Macaca fascicularis: one gene and its partners. Each later gene encodes a partner of the first gene's protein in a complex. Links are inferred from orthologs where the notes say so. Each region holds a gene or a part of one and is shown in the gene's direction. Other genes may lie near its edges.

The links.
Region 2: GTF2F2 (region 1) and POLR2G share a complex: the UniProt entries of both Homo sapiens proteins name them as parts of the TBP-based Pol II pre-initiation complex. The link is inferred for Macaca fascicularis from reciprocal best matches to the Homo sapiens genes GTF2F2 and POLR2G.
Region 3: GTF2F2 (region 1) and ERCC2 share a complex: the UniProt entries of both Homo sapiens proteins name them as parts of the TBP-based Pol II pre-initiation complex. The link is inferred for Macaca fascicularis from reciprocal best matches to the Homo sapiens genes GTF2F2 and ERCC2.

The regions. Positions count from the first base shown.
Region 1 is NC_088391.1:24,364,377-24,370,213, forward strand, and holds the start of GTF2F2 (general transcription factor IIF subunit 2), read left to right. Parts: upstream 1-1,738; 5' UTR 1,739-1,881; coding exon 1,882-1,947; intron 1,948-5,538; exon of another isoform or gene 5,539-5,837. UniProt on the Homo sapiens protein: TFIIF is a general transcription initiation factor that binds to RNA polymerase II and helps to recruit it to the initiation complex in collaboration with TFIIB.
Region 2 is NC_088388.1:11,290,814-11,296,681, reverse strand, and holds the start of POLR2G (DNA-directed RNA polymerase II subunit RPB7), read left to right. Parts: upstream 1-2,047; 5' UTR 2,048-2,132; coding exon 2,133-2,401; intron 2,402-3,690; coding exon 3,691-3,850; intron 3,851-5,842; coding exon 5,843-5,868. UniProt on the Homo sapiens protein: Core component of RNA polymerase II (Pol II), a DNA-dependent RNA polymerase which synthesizes mRNA precursors and many functional non-coding RNAs using the four ribonucleoside triphosphates as substrates.
Region 3 is NC_088393.1:53,419,441-53,425,577, reverse strand, and holds the start of ERCC2 (general transcription and DNA repair factor IIH helicase subunit XPD), read left to right. Parts: upstream 1-2,316; 5' UTR 2,317-2,349; coding exon 2,350-2,354; intron 2,355-2,556; exon of another isoform or gene 2,557-2,647; coding exon 2,648-2,747; intron 2,748-4,076; coding exon 4,077-4,154; intron 4,155-4,231; coding exon 4,232-4,294; intron 4,295-4,482; coding exon 4,483-4,596; intron 4,597-6,137. UniProt on the Homo sapiens protein: ATP-dependent 5'-3' DNA helicase. Component of the general transcription and DNA repair factor IIH (TFIIH) core complex, not absolutely essential for minimal transcription in vitro.

The DNA.
Region 1 (5,837 bases):
GAGTAAAGCTTAGAGCAGTTCCCTTCATCTGCTTACCCTTTATATGTTTTAGGCCCTTTTCCAAGTTGTTGCACAAGAAGAAACCTTCATTTTCTGCTTAAAATTTTTTTTTTCTTTTTCTTCTTTTTAGAAATGGGGGTCTCGCTATGTTAACCAGGCTGGTCTTGAACTCCTACCCTCAAGTGATCTTCCCATCTCGGTCTCCCAAAGTGTTGGGATTACAGGCGTGAGCCACTGTGGCTGGCCAAAAAAAATTTTGGTTTTAGTATTTATTTTTCAGAGACAGGGCCTTGCTCTGTCACCCAGGCTGGAGTGCAAGGCACGATCATGACTCACTGTAGCCTTGAACTCCTGGGCAGACACAATCCTCCCACCTCAGCCTCCCAAAGGTGGGGTTACAGGGTCCAGCCACTGAAACTTTCATTTTCGACACACTCCAGGTCTCTTCCCATCTTTCCTGTTAATTTTGCTAGCTAATCGCAGAGTTCTGACAGCTTTTCCTGGCCCTGTGCTGAACACACATAAAATTTCCTCAATTTTGTGCAAGGCTCTGATGTGTGATTCAATACATTACTTGCCCTTCTTAACAATACCTTACTGTTTGTTTCTCTTCAGCGAATGTTCTTTCACCCAAAGCCTGCTGAAACCTGACAATGTGTCAAACACTGTGCTATACATTGTGGATATAACATGAATAAAGCACTATTTTTTATTTGTAAATTATACCTCAATAAAGCTCTTTCTGCCTAGGAGGAGTTCGTTGTCTGGAAAGCAAAGGCAGATATGTAAACATATGTATTATAGTGCAGAGTGCTAAGTATCACACTGTGATGTGAAGAAAAACTAATTTCTTCTGGGGAAGTTGATAAAAGATCTCATAAGAAGTGACATTTCCATTGGTCTTGAACCATAAGTAGGAGTTTGCCAACCAGAGGAAAGAGTGGGAGTGAGGGCAGGGGTAAAAGAGGGCTTCCAAGGAAGGGAATCCAGTGTGCAGAGGCTCTGAAATGACCGAGGAAGATTCTGACGTGTTCCGGGAAGTCTGCTGGGTTTGGTGTGGTTCGGTGCATGGTGGAGTAATGGTGGGAGGGGAAAACGGATGAAATTAAGAGGGCCCAGTTGAAGCAGGAGGATTGAATTTTATTCTAGAGGCAAGAAGAGAAAGAGAAAACTTTAAGCAGGGGAGGAAACGATCAGTTTTGTCTCTTACTTGTTCGTTTCGTCACAGACCTTCGGGTTTTGGAATATGAGGTGCTCTGCTTGCTTAATCAGAGGAGCTCGGGCAGCCTCTGAGCTGAAACACGGCTTTCTTTTCAGGTCTAGAAACGGCATGTTTTCAATATACCCAGGGCTACCAAGTCTGATCCCAGTGCCCACTTGTGCTAATGACGTTGGCCAGGGGGGATGCCAATTTACTAACCTAAGCCTGTCCTTCAAATATTCTTTCTCTCTCTTTGGCTAGGGTTGGACACGTTCTGACAACTTTTGTCTCTTTGAACCCCGTTTTTCCGTTCTGATAATCTTTTTCTTCAGTTATGCTGGCCATGTCTTTAAATACGTTGCTAACGTTTTGGCTCATCTTACCCTATGTTTTAATCCCTCAGATACACACTACGCTGACAGCCACGCCCACCCAAGGAATTTCCGAAACAGAAAGTTTGTCTGCAACAGCGCGCCGTACGGACGTACAGTGCGCAGGCGCAGTCTGGCTACCGGCGGCGTGTTCCTCTTTCCCCCCGGTTTCCAGTGTCCTGGCAGGTAAGGAACGCCGCCTCTTCACCTCTCAGCGCGGCTTGCCCTTTGTTCCGGACGCCCACTTCTCAGCCCTCCGGCTCCTGGTGTCGCTGCTGTAGGCCACACGCGTCCACCGGCAACAGACCCATGGCCGAGCGCGGGGAACTCGACCTGACCGGCGCCAAACAGAACACAGGAGTGTGGCTAGTCAAGGTAATGTTCACGAGTCTCCCACTTGCGCTCCTCCTAACACAAGTATAATTTAAGTAACTTGAGCCCATCCCGCTCCGTGCACCTCTTAAAGTTCTTTTACGGCTATCTCGTTAGAGCTTCACATATTTTGAGAGGCATGAGTCATTGTTGTATCTGTTTGCAGATGAGGAGATTAGTTTAGGGACGCAAAGTGTCTTTCAGCCGGTTACTGGTCTGAATCAGCCTGGACTAGATCTCTTTCTCACGGCTTTCCTGGAGCCCTGTCTTGGTGTTCCTAGACTTGGGCGGTGCATTTTATCCCAGACCGAAGAATTACTTGTATCTTTCCCTTGGTGAAACTGGTTTTAGCCATGAGCCTGTGTGAGGTAGTTGAATGTCTGCTTTCTGTACAGTTTTTTCGGCGAGAAACTAGAACTGGTCCCTGCGTACTCTTAAAGTATTCTCTTAGGTAAATGGTCCTTAATGAAGCTCTCAAAAGAGGCGAGAGAGCCCTGAACAAACAGAAGGAGAGGTCAGGAGAGGTCATTGGACTGGAGTATTCTTTCAGAGCACATTTGGGTCTGATGAAACTGGCCGTCAATAAATGTTTTATGTAAAGACAGCAATTTTGGTTGGCTCACAGCGGGCACTATTTGTGCTTTACTGTTTCATATTGGGGAGTGTTTTCTCCTAGGGGAGTTTCATAATACTTAAGCAAATTCAAAATGTGATCCTGAAAGTCGTTGAGACTTAAAATGTAAGGACTTTCGGTTTCTTAATGCTTTAACTGATTTATCATATGGCTGAGTTCTCGTCAATTAAATCTAAGAGGTCTTTCTTGTCGGCCTTCTTAAAAATGGCTCCCTTATGATCATTTGCTAACACGACAGATCCGTATTACATTCTTTCTTTTCTTTTTTTCTTTTTTTTTTTTTTGAATCAGAGTCTTGCTCTGTCGCCCAATCTGGAGTGCAGTAGTGCGATCTTGGCTCACTGCAAGCTCCGCCTCCCAGGTTCACGCCATTCTCCTCTCTCAGCCTCCCGAATAACTGGGACTACAGGCACTCGCCCCCACGCCCGGCTAATTTTTTGTATTTTTAGTAGAAACAGGGTTTCACCGTGTTAGCCAGGATGGTCTCGATCTCCTGACCTCGTGATCCGCACGCCTTGGCCTCCCAAAGTGCTGGGATTACAGGCGTGAGCCACCGCGCCTGGCCGTTACATTCTTCAAAGCACTTTTCACAGTGTAGAGTGATTTTGTGTTAATATGTTCAAAGTTGGTTACCTCCGTCTTTCCAACACACAAAATCACATTCCATGAGATTGGATCTTTGCCTGTCATACCCAGAATAGTGTTTGGCACATGGTAATTACTCAACAAAAAGGTGATGAATAAATGCATGACCTCTCATTCTTTAACCCTCGCCTTAATCTGTGGCACTGATTTGACTTATTTCCAAGCTCAGTGTGACTTAAAAGGATGAATTAAATAGGCATTTCTCTCTCCAGCAGCGTGTTAACTGGAGGAGAGTCACTAAGGAGGAGATGGCCCTTGCAGACTGAAGGAAAAAGCTTGAAAAAATGGTGTGACTTGAGATGGTGCCATTGTTCTAGGAGCATGGTAAATGCTCAGTGTTTACGCCTTACAGGATTTGGGTGGGTGGACATAGCGTATACCATGGGGAATGGAACAGAAATGCAAGACTCAGAATACATAATCAGCATGGTGTGTCGTGGAAAACAGAGAGAACCTAGAGCAGAAGATCTGTGTAGATAAAGGTTGGGACCATATACTCAGATTGTCATATCATGAAACGGAGATGTTCTAACTTTAGTTTACAAGGAAGTAACAAACTTTTTGGAGGATTTGAGTGAGGGAGAGATGCCAAATATTTATTCAGAAAAAAAAAAGTTTGGCAGTGTGCAGTACGAATTAGAGGGGAGGGTAAGTAACCAGAGTCACATTTAGAAAATCATCACAGGATTGGGCCGGGCACGGTGGCTCACACCTGTAATCCCAACACTTTGAGAGGCCGAGACAGGTGGATCATGAGGTCAATAGTTTGAGACTAGCCTGGCCAGTATGGTGAAATCCCATCTCTACTAAAAATACCAAAATTAGCCGGTTGTGGTGGCATGCGCCTGTATTCCCAGCTACTCAGGAGACTAAGGCAGAAGAATTGCTTGAAACTGGGAGGCGGAGGTTGCAGTGAGCTGAGATTGCTCCGTTGCACTCCAGCCTGGGCAACAGAACAAAAACTCCATCTCAGAAAAAAAAAAAAAAAGAAGTAGTAACTTGTTGCTTAGAAAGTGTGTCTTCATTCTCATCTCATCAGAATTTTATTTGAACTACGTATTGATTTCAAGTTTTTTCTCCTTACATTAATATTTTCTGTTAAAAATAATACCTTGAGTTCTGATCTTTGTTGCTGAAAAATGTTTCTTCCTAGGATATATCAAGGTCATCTTGTACATATTTAATTCCATCACCAGTTACAGAACTGTGTAAATGCAGTAAGGACTGTACATACAAGATCTCTTAGAGTTTTGAGCAGGAAAAAAATTAATGCTTCACCAGAACTGGAAAGACATCATAGAGAAGGTGATGTTTAAGAAGAGCCTGTTTGGAGGTTGCAGTGAGTCGAGATTGTGCCACTGCGCTCCTGCCTGGGCAACTAGAGTGACACCCTGTCTCAAAAAATAAATAAATAAATAAATAAATTGGATGTGAGTGTGATCTGGCTGGGACATCTGTCACCCCATTGATCACCAGGGTTGATTTGGCTAATCTGGCTGGCTAGGTGGGTGTCCCCTTCCTCCCACTCCACTCCATGTATGTCCCTCCTGAAGCTGCACCCTTGATCAAAGAGGATGACCATCCCGATAGAGGAGGACTGGTATATGTGTGGCTGTACTCCCCTGCTGGAACCTCCAAACAAGCTTTCAAGAAGAGCTTATGGAAGGCCGGGTGCAGTGGCTCATGCCTGGAATCCCAGCACTTTGGGAGGACCAGGTGGGCGAATTGCTTAAGCCCAGGAATTTGAGACCAGCCTGGGCAATATAGCAAAACCTTTTATGTACAAAAACTACAAAAAGTTAGCTGGGCATGGTGGCATACGCTTGTAGTCCCAGCTACTTGGGAGACTGAGGTGGGAGGATCACTTGAGCCCAGGAGGTTGAGGCTGCAGTGAGTTGAGATCACACCCCTTGTACTCTAGGCTGGGCGACAGAGTGAAACCCTATCTGAAAAGGAAAAAAAAAAAAAACCTTGCCAGCAAGACTGGGGATAAATAGTGTGTTTAGGGAAAAACAAATATAGTAGTAGATTGTTTACCAAAAAAGCAAAATATCCAGGACCTGTACTGTTCTGGCCTAATGAAGTGCTATTTCTGGAATTTTGAGTATCTTTTCTTTTGGCTGAGCACAGGGGACTTTATTGATGGCACACGACAAGGCAGAGCTCCCTAGGCCCCTCCCTCTTCAGGGGGTCTGCATGGAAACTGAGGAGGGGAGATTCTCAGTGTGGTTGGGGACTGAGTATGGCAGGGACTCCCCAGCATGAGGGCCTCTCTTTTCCTTTTGTTCTCTCACTGGGGCTGGTGGTCCGGGGTCTTACTTCTTAGAGGCCATGTGGGCCATGAAGTCCACCACCATGTTGCTGTAGCCAGATTCATTGTCATACCAGGAAATGAGCTTGACAAAGCGCCAGCCCCAGCATTGAAGGTGGAAGAGTGAGTGTTGCTGTTGAAGTCAGAGGAAACCACCTGGTGCTCAGTGTAGCCCAGGATGCCCTTGAGGGAGCCCCCTCCAATGCCTGCTTCACACCTTCTTGATGTCATCATATCTGGCAGGTTTTTCCAGATGGCAGGTCACGTCCATGACTGACACGTTGGCAGTGGGGACATGGAAGG
Region 2 (5,868 bases), on another chromosome or scaffold:
TGAGCTGGAGTGCAGTGGCACGATCTTGGCTCACTGCAACCTCCTCCTCCCAGGTTCAAGGGATTCTTCTGCCTCAGTCTCCCAAGTAGCTGGGATTACAGGCACCTGCCACCACGCCCGGCTAATTTTTTGTATTTTTTTTTTCTTTTTTTTTGAGACGAAGTCTCTCTCTGTGGCCCAGGCTGGAGTGCAGTGGCCAGATCTCAGATCACTGCAAGCTCCGCCTCCCGGGTTCACGCGGTTCTCCTGCCTCAGCCTCCCGAGTAGCTGGGACTACAGGCGCCCGCCACCTTGCCTGGCTATTTTTTTGTATTTTTTAGTAGAGACGGGGTTTCAACGTCTTAGCCAGGATGGTCTCGATCTCCTGACCTTGTGATCCACCCGTTTCGGCCTCCCAAAGTGCTGGGATTACAGGCTTGAGCCACCGCGCCCGGCCCCAATTTTTTGTATTTTTAGTAGAGATGGGGTTTCACTATGTTGGCCAGGCTGGTCTTGAACTTCTGACCTTGTGATTCACATGTAACTTTTTTTTTTTTTGAGAGGGAATCTTGCTCTGTCTCCCAGACTGGAGTGCAGTGGCACGATCTCGGCTCACTGCAACCTCTGCCTCCCGGGTTCAAGCAATTCTCCTGCCCCAGTCTCCCAAGTAGCCGGGATTACAGTCGTGAGCCATGGTGCCGGGGGTATGTAACATTTTTTTAACAGAGGATGAAATAGTCATGGATTTCCTGCACTCCAGCCTGGGTGACACAGCGAGACTCCCTCTCAAAAAAAAGAAAGTGAATTAATCTATAATCTGAGAACAGAAGTTGTAAACTATATGTGACTCACAGTCATATCTCTCTCGAGGCTTAAAATATTTTTTGGGATTGCAATAGCTTTTAAATTTTTTCTTTCTCTCTCTCTCTTTCTTTCGTTCTTTCTTAGTGTTGCTCTGTTGCCAGGCTGGAGTGCAGTGGCGCGATCTCAGCTCACCGCAGCCTCCGCCCCCCGGGTTCAAGCGATTTTCCTGCCTCAGCCTCCTGAGTAGCTGGGACTACAGGCACATGCCACCACGCCCGGCTAATTTTTTGTATTTTTAGTAGAGTCGAGGTTTCGCCGTGTTAGCAAGGATGGTCTCAATCTCCTGACCCCATGATCTGCCCGCCTCCGCCTTCCAAAGTGCTGGGATTACAGGCGTAAACCACTGCGCTCAGCCTAAATTTCATTATTTTCTGTAGTTTCCTGGCCTTTCGACTAAGGCTCATGTAAATTTTTTGTTATTTCTACACCAATTTCTGTAGATTATTATGAGAATTAAGGGAGATAATTATATAAAGGGCTTAACACAGTGTCTGGCATTTAGGAAGAAAGCAGTAAGTGGTAGCTATTATTTATTATTATTTTTTGTGATGGAGTTTCGCTTTTGTTGCCCAGGCTGGAGTGCAGTGGCCTCCCAGGTTCAAGCAATTCAGAGAGTTGCTGGCCGGGCACAGTGGCTCACGCCTGTAATTCCAGCACTTTTGGAGGCCGAGGTGGGTGGATCACCTAAGGTTGGGAGTTTGAGACTAGCCTGACCAACATGGAGAAACCCCATCTCTACTAAAAACACAAAATTGGCCGGGCGCTGTGACTCACGCCTGTAATTCCAGCACTTTGGGAGGCTGAGGAGGGCGGATCACAAGGTCAGGATATCAAGACCAGCCTGGCTAACCCGGTGAAACCCCGTCACTACTAAAAATACAAAAAATTAGCCGGGCGCGGTGGTGGGCGCCTGTAGTCCCAACTACTGGGGAGGCTGAGGCAGGAGAATGGCCCGAACCCGGGAGGCGGAGCTTGCAGTGAGCCGAGATCGCGCCACTGCACTCCAGCCTGGGAGACGGAGCCAGATCCGTCTCAAAACAAAAAAAAGAGAGTTGTGGTTTGATGGCCGGTGGGGGGGCGGGGCGGTGGTGAGGGGCGGGGCTTAGTGGTTCACGCCCACGGCTACAAGGCCCAATCAGACCCGTGGAGCAGGTGGAGTTCCGCCCTCGCTGAGGAGGTGGAGTTCCGCTCTCAACGACGCAGCAGGCGCGGAACTGGGGTTGCGGCGGCTAAGTGTGTTTCCGGTAGATTCCCAGGGGCGGTCGGAGGTGTGGACTGTTCCTGCCTTCATGCTCTGGGAAGATGTTCTACCATGTGAGCAGGGCCCAGGGTGGCGGCAAGGGCTGGGTGGAAAGGAGGAGCAAGGCCAGGCGCCGGCGCGAGGCTCCCCTTGTCGTCTGATAAGCTCCCAGCGCGTGGCCTGGTCGCCATCCCTCTTTTCTCCGCAGATCTCCCTAGAGCACGAAATCCTGCTGCACCCGCGCTACTTCGGCCCCAACTTGCTCAACACGGTGAAGCAGAAGCTCTTCACCGAAGTGGAGGGGACCTGCACAGGGAAGTGAGTGCCGAGCTCACCGTGCCGCCAGATCGTTCGATGCGCACACGGGTCGCTATACCTGCAAACCCTCCGCAACTCCTATTTAGTCCTGCCACCCACTCTAGGGACCCCGCTCACCCTCTCAGGCAGCCAGTTGCTTCCTGCTTTGGGTTCCCAGGGCGCCCTCTGCAATGCTGGACAATAAGACTTCCTTCCCTCAGCTGAGATTGGTCATTCATTCATTTACTCCTCAGACATTTTAAAAACACTTGGTGTGTGCCAGGACCCGTGTTGGGCTCAGAACAAGGTAGAATGGGAACAAGATAGAATGAGGCCAGCTCTTGTGGAGCTCACAGTGTAGTCATTGTTCCTGTGTCTCCTCTCACTCTGTCATTCTGCTGGTTTTCTCTTATCCCCTGTGTCCAGGGACCACACACCGTGGGCCTCTATATATCTTCTGAATGGATGACCAGAAAAAGTGGATCGAAAGTTTGGGGGAGGAAGGAAGTAGACTGGGACTTGACCATCTCTGGGCTTTGCACTGAGGGCCTTCTGTGATATTAATGAGCTGGGACCCAGCCCAGGGCAGTGGAGTACTTGGGCCTCCAGCATCAGAAAAACCTGCAGGAACATGCAGATTCCTGAGCCTCCTTATTCCCTACAGAATCAAGACTCTGTGAGGCAGACCTGAGAATCTGCATTTTAAGAAGATGATTCTCAGGCATCCCGAAGATTGAGATCTGTTTCCTCAAGGACTCCAGCCTTCTTGTACATTTACTGTGAAATTACCAGAACAGCATTTGGTCTTATACATACTGATCTGTGTTCTTTTTTTTTTTTTTTTTTTTTTGAGACGGAGTCTCGCTCTGTGGCCCAGGCTGGAGTGCAGTGGCCTGATCTCAGCTCACCGCAAGCTCCGCCTCCCGGGTTCAGGCCATTCTCCTGCCTCAGCTTCCCGAGTAGCTGGGACTACAGGCGCCTGCCACCTCGCCTGGCTAGTTTTTTGTATTTTTTAGTAGAGACGGGGTTTCACCGGGTTAGCCAGGATGGTCTCGATCTCCTGACGTCGTGATCCGCCCGTCTCGGCCTCCCAAAGTGCTGGGATTACAGGCTTGAGCCACCGCGCCCAGCCCATACTGATCTGTGTTCTGTCTTCTCTTGGTCATTAAGCTCTCTGGGAGCAGAGGTGCTATCTACTTGTCCTTTTGCTCTCCCCGACACTACTCCCAAGAGCTCAGTGACTTTTATTGCAGATGTCTCTAGAGGCTCTTGGACACACAATGTCTTTCTGTTTCTCATCCTCCTTGCAGGTATGGCTTTGTAATTGCTGTCACCACCATTGACAATATTGGTGCTGGTGTGATCCAGCCAGGCCGAGGCTTTGTCCTTTATCCAGTTAAGTACAAGGCCATTGTTTTCCGGCCCTTTAAAGGGGAGGTCGTGGATGCTGTTGTAACTCAGGTCAACAAGGTGAGACCATACGTAGGGGAGGCATTGGGGTAGTCTCTCAGTAGATCTGGGTTGGGTCCTGGCTCCACTTCATAACTGTGCCTTCAGCTAAGTCACTTTACTTCTTTTTTTTTTTTTGAGACGGAGTGTTGCTCTGTCGCCCAGGCTGGAGTGCAGTGGTGCCATCTTGGCTCACTGAAACCTCTGCCTTCTGGGTTCCAGTGAGTCTCTTGCCTCGGCCTCCCAAGTAGTTGGGACTAAAGGCAGGTGCCACCATTGCCGGCTAAGTTTTTGTATTTTTTTAGTAGAGATAGGGTTTTGCCATGTTGCCCAGGCTGATCTCGAACTCCTGAGCTCAATCTGCCTTCCTCGGCCTCCCAAAGCGCTAGGATTACAGGTGTGAGCTACCACGCCTAGCCATCACTTTACTTCTTGTGCTGCACTTTCAAATTGTATGGTAATCTTCCCTGCCCAACTCAGAGGGCAAGAGTCAACATTAATAGTCATAACAATAAAAGCCTGTGTTGATTGAGTAGTGACTGTGGGCCAGGTGAAGTGCAGAGACTCACAATGACTAAAAGGTGGGTGCTTTCCTTTTTTTTTTTTTTTTAAGATGGAGTTTAGCTCTGTCGCCAGACTGGAGTGCAGTGGCACAATCTTGGCTCACTACAACCTCCGCCTCTGGGTTCAAGTGATTCTCCTGCCTCAGCCTCCCAGGTAGCTGGGACTATAGGCATGCGCCACCACGCTCAGCTAATTTTTGTATTTTTAGTAGAGATGAGGTTTCTCCATGTTGGTCAGGCTGGTCTCAAACTCCTGACCTCAGGTGATCTGCCTGCCTCAGCCACCGAAAGTGCTGGGATTGTAGGCGTGAGCCACTGCCCCCGGCCAGTGGGTGCTTTTTACAGAAGCTGAAGCTTAGAAGAAGTTAAGTGTATTGGCCAAGATCATGTGGCCAACAGGTGTTCAAATCTTGGACTAACAGGCCTAAGCTCTTTAATACTTTAAAATGAAAGGTTAGGCTGGGCATGGTGGCTCACATCTGTAATCCCAGCACTTTGGGAGGCTGAGGTGGGCAGATCACCTGAGGTTGGGAGTTCAAGACCAGCCTGGCCAATATGATGAAACCCTATCTCTACTAAAAATACAAAAATTAGCCAGGCATCGTGGCATGTGCATGTAGTCCCAGCTACTCGGGAGGCTGAGGCATGAGAATCACTTGAACGTGGGAGGTGGAGGTTGCAGTGAGTTGAAATTGCACCACTGCACTCCAGAGTGAACAACAGAGCGAGATTCTGTCTCAAAATAAATACATAAATAAATACAAATGAAAGCTTAAAAAAAAAGAGAAGAGGGCTGGGTGTGCTGGCTTACACCTATAATCCCAGTGCTTTGGGAGGCAGAAGTGGGAAGATTGCTTGAGCCTAGGAGTTTGAGACCAGCCTGGGCAACATAGCAAGACTCTGTCTCTACAAAAAGTTTTAAAAAATTAGCCTAGCATGGTGGTGTGCACCTGTGGTCTCAGCTACTTGGAAGGCTGAGGTGGGAGGATTGCTTGAGCCCAGGAATTCAAAGGTACAGTGAGCTGTGATTACACCACTGCTTTCCAACCTGGGCAACAGTGAGAACCTGTCTCAAAATTTAGAAAGCAAAAAACAAAAACACAACACTTGAGGGGACAAAGAAAAGCAAGATCACTCTTTTTTTTTTTTTGAGACGGAGTCTTGCTCTGTTGCCAGGCTGGAGTACAATGGCGAGATCTGGCTCACTGCAACCTCCGCCTCCCGGGTTCAAACGATTCTCCTGCCTCAGTCTCTTGAGTAGCTGGGATTACAGGTGCGCTACCACACCCAGCTAATTTTTGTATTTTTAGCAGAGACAAGGTTTCACCATGTTGGTCAGGCTGGTCTTGAACTTGTGACCTCATGATCCACCCGCCTCGGCCCCCCAAAGTGCTGGGATTATAGGCATAAGCCACCGTGCATGACCATAAGATCACTCATTTTTTTCTAGGTTGGACTCTTCACAGAAATTGGACC
Region 3 (6,137 bases), on another chromosome or scaffold:
ATCACTGCCCACTGCAACCTCTGCCTCCCAGGCCCAAGTGATTCTCCCACCTTAGCCTCCTGAGTATCTGGGACTACAGGTACATGCCACCACACCCAGCTAATTTTTGCATTTTTTTGTAAAAACAGGTTTTCACCACGTTGCTCAGGCTTGTCTTCAGCTCCTGAGCTCAAGCAATGTACTCGCCTTGGCCTTCCAAAGTGCTGGAACTACAGGCACGAGCCACCACTCCAGGCTGTAATCATATATTTATTTGTATGTTTATATCTGTTCTTTGAGGCCAGGCCTGGTGCCTCACCCCTGTAATCCCAACAATTTGAAAGGCTGAGGGGAGAGGATCACTTGAACCCGAGAGTTTAACCAGCCTGGGCAACGTGGTGAGACCTTGTTCCTAAAAAAATTAAAAAAATAAAAATTAGCTGGGCTTGGTAGTGCACACCTGTGGTCCTAGCTACTCAGGAGGCTGAGGTGGGAGGATCACTTGAGCCCAAGAAGTGGAGGCTGCAGTGAGCTGTAACTGTGCCACTTCACTCCAGCTTCGGCGACAGAGCAAGACCCTGTCTCGAGAAAAAAAAGAGAAAAAAATCTGTTCTTTGAGGGCAGTTGCTGAGGCTGTCATGGTCACCTTTCTGTTCCCAGGGGCCAGCACAGGATCAGGCACATGGTAGATGTCACATAGCTATTTGTTGAAGAAACAAAAACTAGCATTTATGTTTTATTTTATTATTATTATTTGAAATGGAGTTTTGCTTTTGTTGCCCAGGCTGGAGTGCAATGGCGCCATCTCGGCTCACTGCAACCTTTCCCTCCCAGGTTCAAGCAATTCTCCTGCTTCAGCCTCCCGAGTAGCTGGGATTGCAGGCACATGCCAACATGCCTGGCTAATTTTGTATTTTTAGTAGAGACGGGGTTTCTCCATGTTGGTCAGGCTGGTCTCGAACTCCTGACCTCAGGTGATCCACCCACCTCGGCCTCCTAAAATGTTGGGATTACAGGTGTAAGCCATCATGCCCAGCCAAAACTAGCATTTATTGAATGCTTAGTATGTGCTAAACCCAGTTTTAACTGCTTTATGTGATCTGAAATTAACTCACCTAATTAACAGACTATCTACAATAGTAATATGTAATTAACAATAGTAATAGTCTCTAATTAACAATTAGATTATTGTAATGCTACAATGTAGCATTGTAGATAGTCTGATTGTTAACTACTTTGCAGATACAAAAGTGTAACCCCAGGCCAGGTGTGGTGGCTCACACCTGTAATCCCAGCACTTTGGGAGGCCAAGGCGGGCGAATCACGAGGTCAAGAGATCAAGACTATCCTGGTCAACATGGTGAAACCCCATCTCTACTAAAAAAAATACAAAAACTGGCCAGGTGTGGTGGTGTGCCTGTAATCCCAGCTAATCTGTAGGCTGAGGCAGGAGAATTGCTTGAACCTGGGAGGTGGAGGTTTGAGTGAGCTGAGATCATGCCATTGCACTCCAGCCTGGGCAACAAAAGTGAAGCCAGGATTATGAACCCAGGAATTTTGGTTCCAGAGCCCACAACTTAGCCACTAAACCACACTGCCTTTTCGTTATTCCCTTATTAAAACACCTATCACAGTATTTGGCAAAAAGTAGGTGCTCAATAAATAGGAAGAGCTGTTTATAAGTTATTTATACCACAGAAGTCTGGGATACATCCTGTATTTTATATCATTTTGACCATGTATATTATTTTATTTTGCTTTGTTTTCATTCATTTGTTTTTATTTTATGTTATTTAAAAATTATTTGTATTACTTTTTTTGTTTTACAGCAGGTATTTTATAAATGCATTTTTGGTGCTGCAAAGCCATTTCTAACTCTCGGGCCCAGAAAGGATCACCAGTGTCCCTGTCATTCTCCGTTAGAATCTCTATTCGCTACTGAGACGAATTTTTTTTGTTTGTTTGTTTGAGACCAGGTGGAGGGGCGGGGGTTCTCGCTATCTTGCTCAAGCTGATCTCGAACTCCTGGGTTCGATCAATACTCAATCTTGGCAGGCGCAGGAGGACCAAATTCTAGCGAATGAGATCGATTCTCTCGGATCTCTCCCTTCCATGTTTTCTTTTTGATTGGCCCTCGACGATCCTCAGTGACGCCTCCCGCACCGCCTCTCCCGAGAGTCAGCAGCCCTCGCTTATCCGTGCGCACGCGCAGTATCCCGATTGGCTCTGCCCTAGCGGATTGACGGGCAGATCAGCCAATGGTCTTGTAATATAGGTGGAGCGAGCTCTTGAGGATGTCCACGACCCGGCCTCTCGCTAAATATTCATGAGGGAGGCGGGTGGACGCCACTGCACACTCCGGCAGGCGCCATGAAGTGAGAAGGGGGCCGGGGGGTCGCGGCTCGCGAGCGGGCGCGGGGGTGTCTTGAAGATGGGGTCACCGGTGGGCGTGCCTGGGTCCCCAGTGGGGCCAGGGGAGGGTGAAGGGGTGGGGAGGGGGCAGCCGCAGGGAACAGCGGTGATAGCGAGGAGGCACTGAGGCTCCTGAGGACCTGAGGGTTACCAGGGGCGCCGGGCAGGTCACCCTTCTGGGCCCGACGACCGGGCAGTGTGGAGGCGGGAGAGGGGCTGAGGGGACGGGGATTGACCCAGCAGCCGCTGCCGCCAGGCTCAACGTGGACGGGCTCCTGGTCTACTTCCCTTACGACTACATCTACCCCGAGCAGTTCTCCTACATGCGGGAGCTCAAACGCACGCTGGACGCCAAGGTGGGTGGCCGGTGGGCCCGACCCGCCCACTCGACCGGTGGGGCTGCCACGCCTGAGCCTAAGACAGATTGCAGGACGTCTGGATTTTAGAAGTAGGAGGTCCTTGGAAATCCAGGACCCCATAATCTTCCGTTATCTAAAATAATAATGGTGAATAGGCTGGGCGCGGTGGCTCGCGCCTGTAATCCCAGCGCTTTGGGAGGCCGAGGAGGGCGGATCACTTGAGGTCAGGAGATCGAGACCAGCCTGGCCAACGTGGTGAAACCCCGTCTCTTCTAAAAATACAAAAATTAGCCAGGTGTGGTGGCGGGCGCCTGTAATCCCAGCTACTCAGAAGGCTGAGGCAGGAGAATCGCTTGAACCCGAGAAGCAGAGGTTGCAGCTAGCCGACGTGGCGCCATTGCACTCCAGCCTGGGCGACAGAGTGCCACATTGCACTCCAGCCTGGGCGACAGAGTGAGACTCGGTCTCAAAAATAAATAATAATGGTCAATAGGCTGGGCGCGGTGGTTCGTGCCTGTAATCCCAGCACTTTGGTGGGAGGTGGAGGCGGGAAGATCACTTGGGGCCAGGTATTGGAGACCAACTTGGGCAACACAGCAAGATCCTATCTCTACAAAAAATTAGAAAATTAGCTGGGTGTGGTGGTGCTTGCCTGTAGTCCCCACTGCTTGGGAGGTTGAGGCAGGAGGATCGCTTGAGGCCAGGAGTTGGAGGCTGCAGTGAGCCATGATTGTGCTGTTGCATTCCAGTCTGGGCAACAGAGTGAGACCTGTCTCTGAAAAAAGAAGGGAGAAAAGTTCACTATATATCAGCTACTGTGCTAAATATTTAATGTGCAATTTCTCACTAATCTTCACAGTCATGTTATGAGGAAGGTTTTATTATTAGGCCCATTTTATTTTATTTATTTATTTTTGAGACAAAATCACAGGTGCACGCCACCACTTCCGGCTAATTTTTTGTATTTTTAGTAGAGAAGGGGTTTCACCATATTGGCCGGGCTGGTCTCGAACTCCTGACCTCAGGTGATCCACCTGCCTCGACCTCTCAAAGTGCTGGGATTACAGGCGTGAGCCACCATGCCCGGCCTTAGGCCCATTTTAGAGGTAGGGATACTGAGGTCTGGGGAGGTGAAGGTACTCACCTAAGACCACTCAACAAGGAGGAGGCAGAAGTGGATTTGAACCCCACTGCCCAATTTTAACTGCTGCTGTGTTATCCTGCTGTTCCAAGTTGGTGGCATTGGAGGTCGGGGAGAGTCCCCAGAGTTTGTGTGCCCGAGGTTCTGAGACCCTGTGTGTTGTCCCTCTGGTTCCCAACATGCAGGGTCATGGAGTCCTGGAGATGCCCTCAGGCACTGGGAAGACAGTGTCCCTGTTGGCCCTGATCATGGCATACCAGCGGGTGAGTGATGCATTGAACCCGTAAAGGCAGACAAAAGAAGGGATAGGACAGGGACTGAGTCCACTTGTTATCGGCAGGCATATCCGCTGGAGGTGACCAAACTCATCTACTGCTCAAGAACTGTGCCGGAGATTGAGAAGGTGAGCCCGGACTCATCCTGGTGCTCCAGCTCCACTGTTCCCTAGGCCCTATTGGTCCCCCTGGTGGTGGCCATCACCAGCTTTCGGGGGTGTCTGGGAAGCTCGGGAAGAGGCTGGGGCCTGGCAGGGCAGGGGTTTGTGCCTCCAATGAACACAAGCTCCCCCTGCCCCCCCCAACTTTGGAGTAGGTGATCGAAGAGCTTCGAAAGTTGCTCAACTTCTATGAGAAGCAGGAGGGCGAGAAGCTGCCATTTCTGGGGCTGGCTCTGAGCTCCCGCAAAAACTTGTGTATTCACCCTGAGGTGAGCACCCGTCCCTTCTCCTTGCCCTTAGCCCAGAGGTAGAGGAAACTCTTTCGTCCAACTGCAAGTCCTGGATCCCCAGGCTGGACCTCTTGCAAAGGCATGCAGTGGCTGCACACAGAATTCCCATCTCACTGGTCAAATTCTCATTCATCGTGGCCCAGGCAAGCACACCTCCTCAGGGAGTCTTCCAATTCTACCCAGGCCTGGGAGAGGTTAAAAAGGCAGCTCTTAGAGTCTCTGGAAGACCTGGTTTCCTGGCTCTGAAACTTACCAGCCGGGTATTTATGGAGAGGCGTTTTCTGCTGCCTGGGCCTCAGTCTTCCTTTCTGTAAAATGGGGATAATTATGTGCCTGCCTCATAAGGTCGCTGATGATAAAATTGGATGAAATGATGCAGCCGATGCCCTTAGCATGTACAGAGAACTAAAAGAATGTTAGAAATTCACGGCTGGGCACGGTGGCTCACGCCTGTAATCCCAGCACTTTGGGAGGCCGAGGCGGGTGGATCACAAGGTCAGGAGATCGAGACCATCCTGGCTAACATGGTGAAACCCCATCTCTACTAAAATATACAAAAAATTAGCTGGGCATGGTGGTGGGCGCCTGTAGTCCCAGCTACTCGGGAGCTGAGGCAGGAGAATGGCGTGAATTCGGGAGGTGAAGCTTGCAGTGAGCTAAGATCACACCACTGCACTCCAGCCTGGGCGACGGAGCGAGACTCTGTCTCAAAAAAAAAAAAAAAAAAAAAAATTTCTCATGGTAGGCCGGGTGCGGTGGTTCACATCTATAGTCCCAGCACTTTGGGAGTCTGAGGTGGGCAGATCATTTGAGGTCAGGAGTTCGAGACCATCCTGGCCAACACGGCAAAACCCCATTTCTTTTTTTTTTTTTTTTTTTTTTTTTGAGACAGAGTCTCGCTCTGTCGCCCAGGCTGGAGTGCAGTGGCCGGATCTCAGCTCACTGCAAGCTCCGCCTCCCGGGTTCACGCCATTCTCCTGCCTCAGCCTCCCGAGTAGCTGGGACTATAGGCGCCCGCCACCACGCCCGGCTAGTTTTTTTTTTGTATTTTTTAGTAGAGACAGGGTTTCACCGTGTTAGCCAGGATGGTCTCGATCTCCTGACCTCGTGATCCGCCCGTCTCGGCCTCCCAAAGTGCTGGGATTACAGGCGTGAGCCACCGCGCCCGGCGCAAAACCCCATTTCTACTAAAAATACAGAAATTAGCCAGGGGTGGTGGCGTACGTGTCGGTAATCCCAGTCGCTTGTACACGGGAGGCAGAGGTTGCAGTGAGCTGAGGTCACACTACTGCACTCCAGCCTGGGGGACAGAGTGAGACTGTCTTAAAAAAAAAAAAAATTGTCATGATATTTATATACATAATATATGACAAATACAATGTTAATTGTTATTAAATTATGCTATAAAACCATTGTACTTGGCTGGGCATGGTGGCTCACGCCTATAATCCCAGCACTTTGGAAGGCTGATGTTTCACCATGTTGGTCAGGCTGGTCTCTAACTCCTGATCTCGTGATCC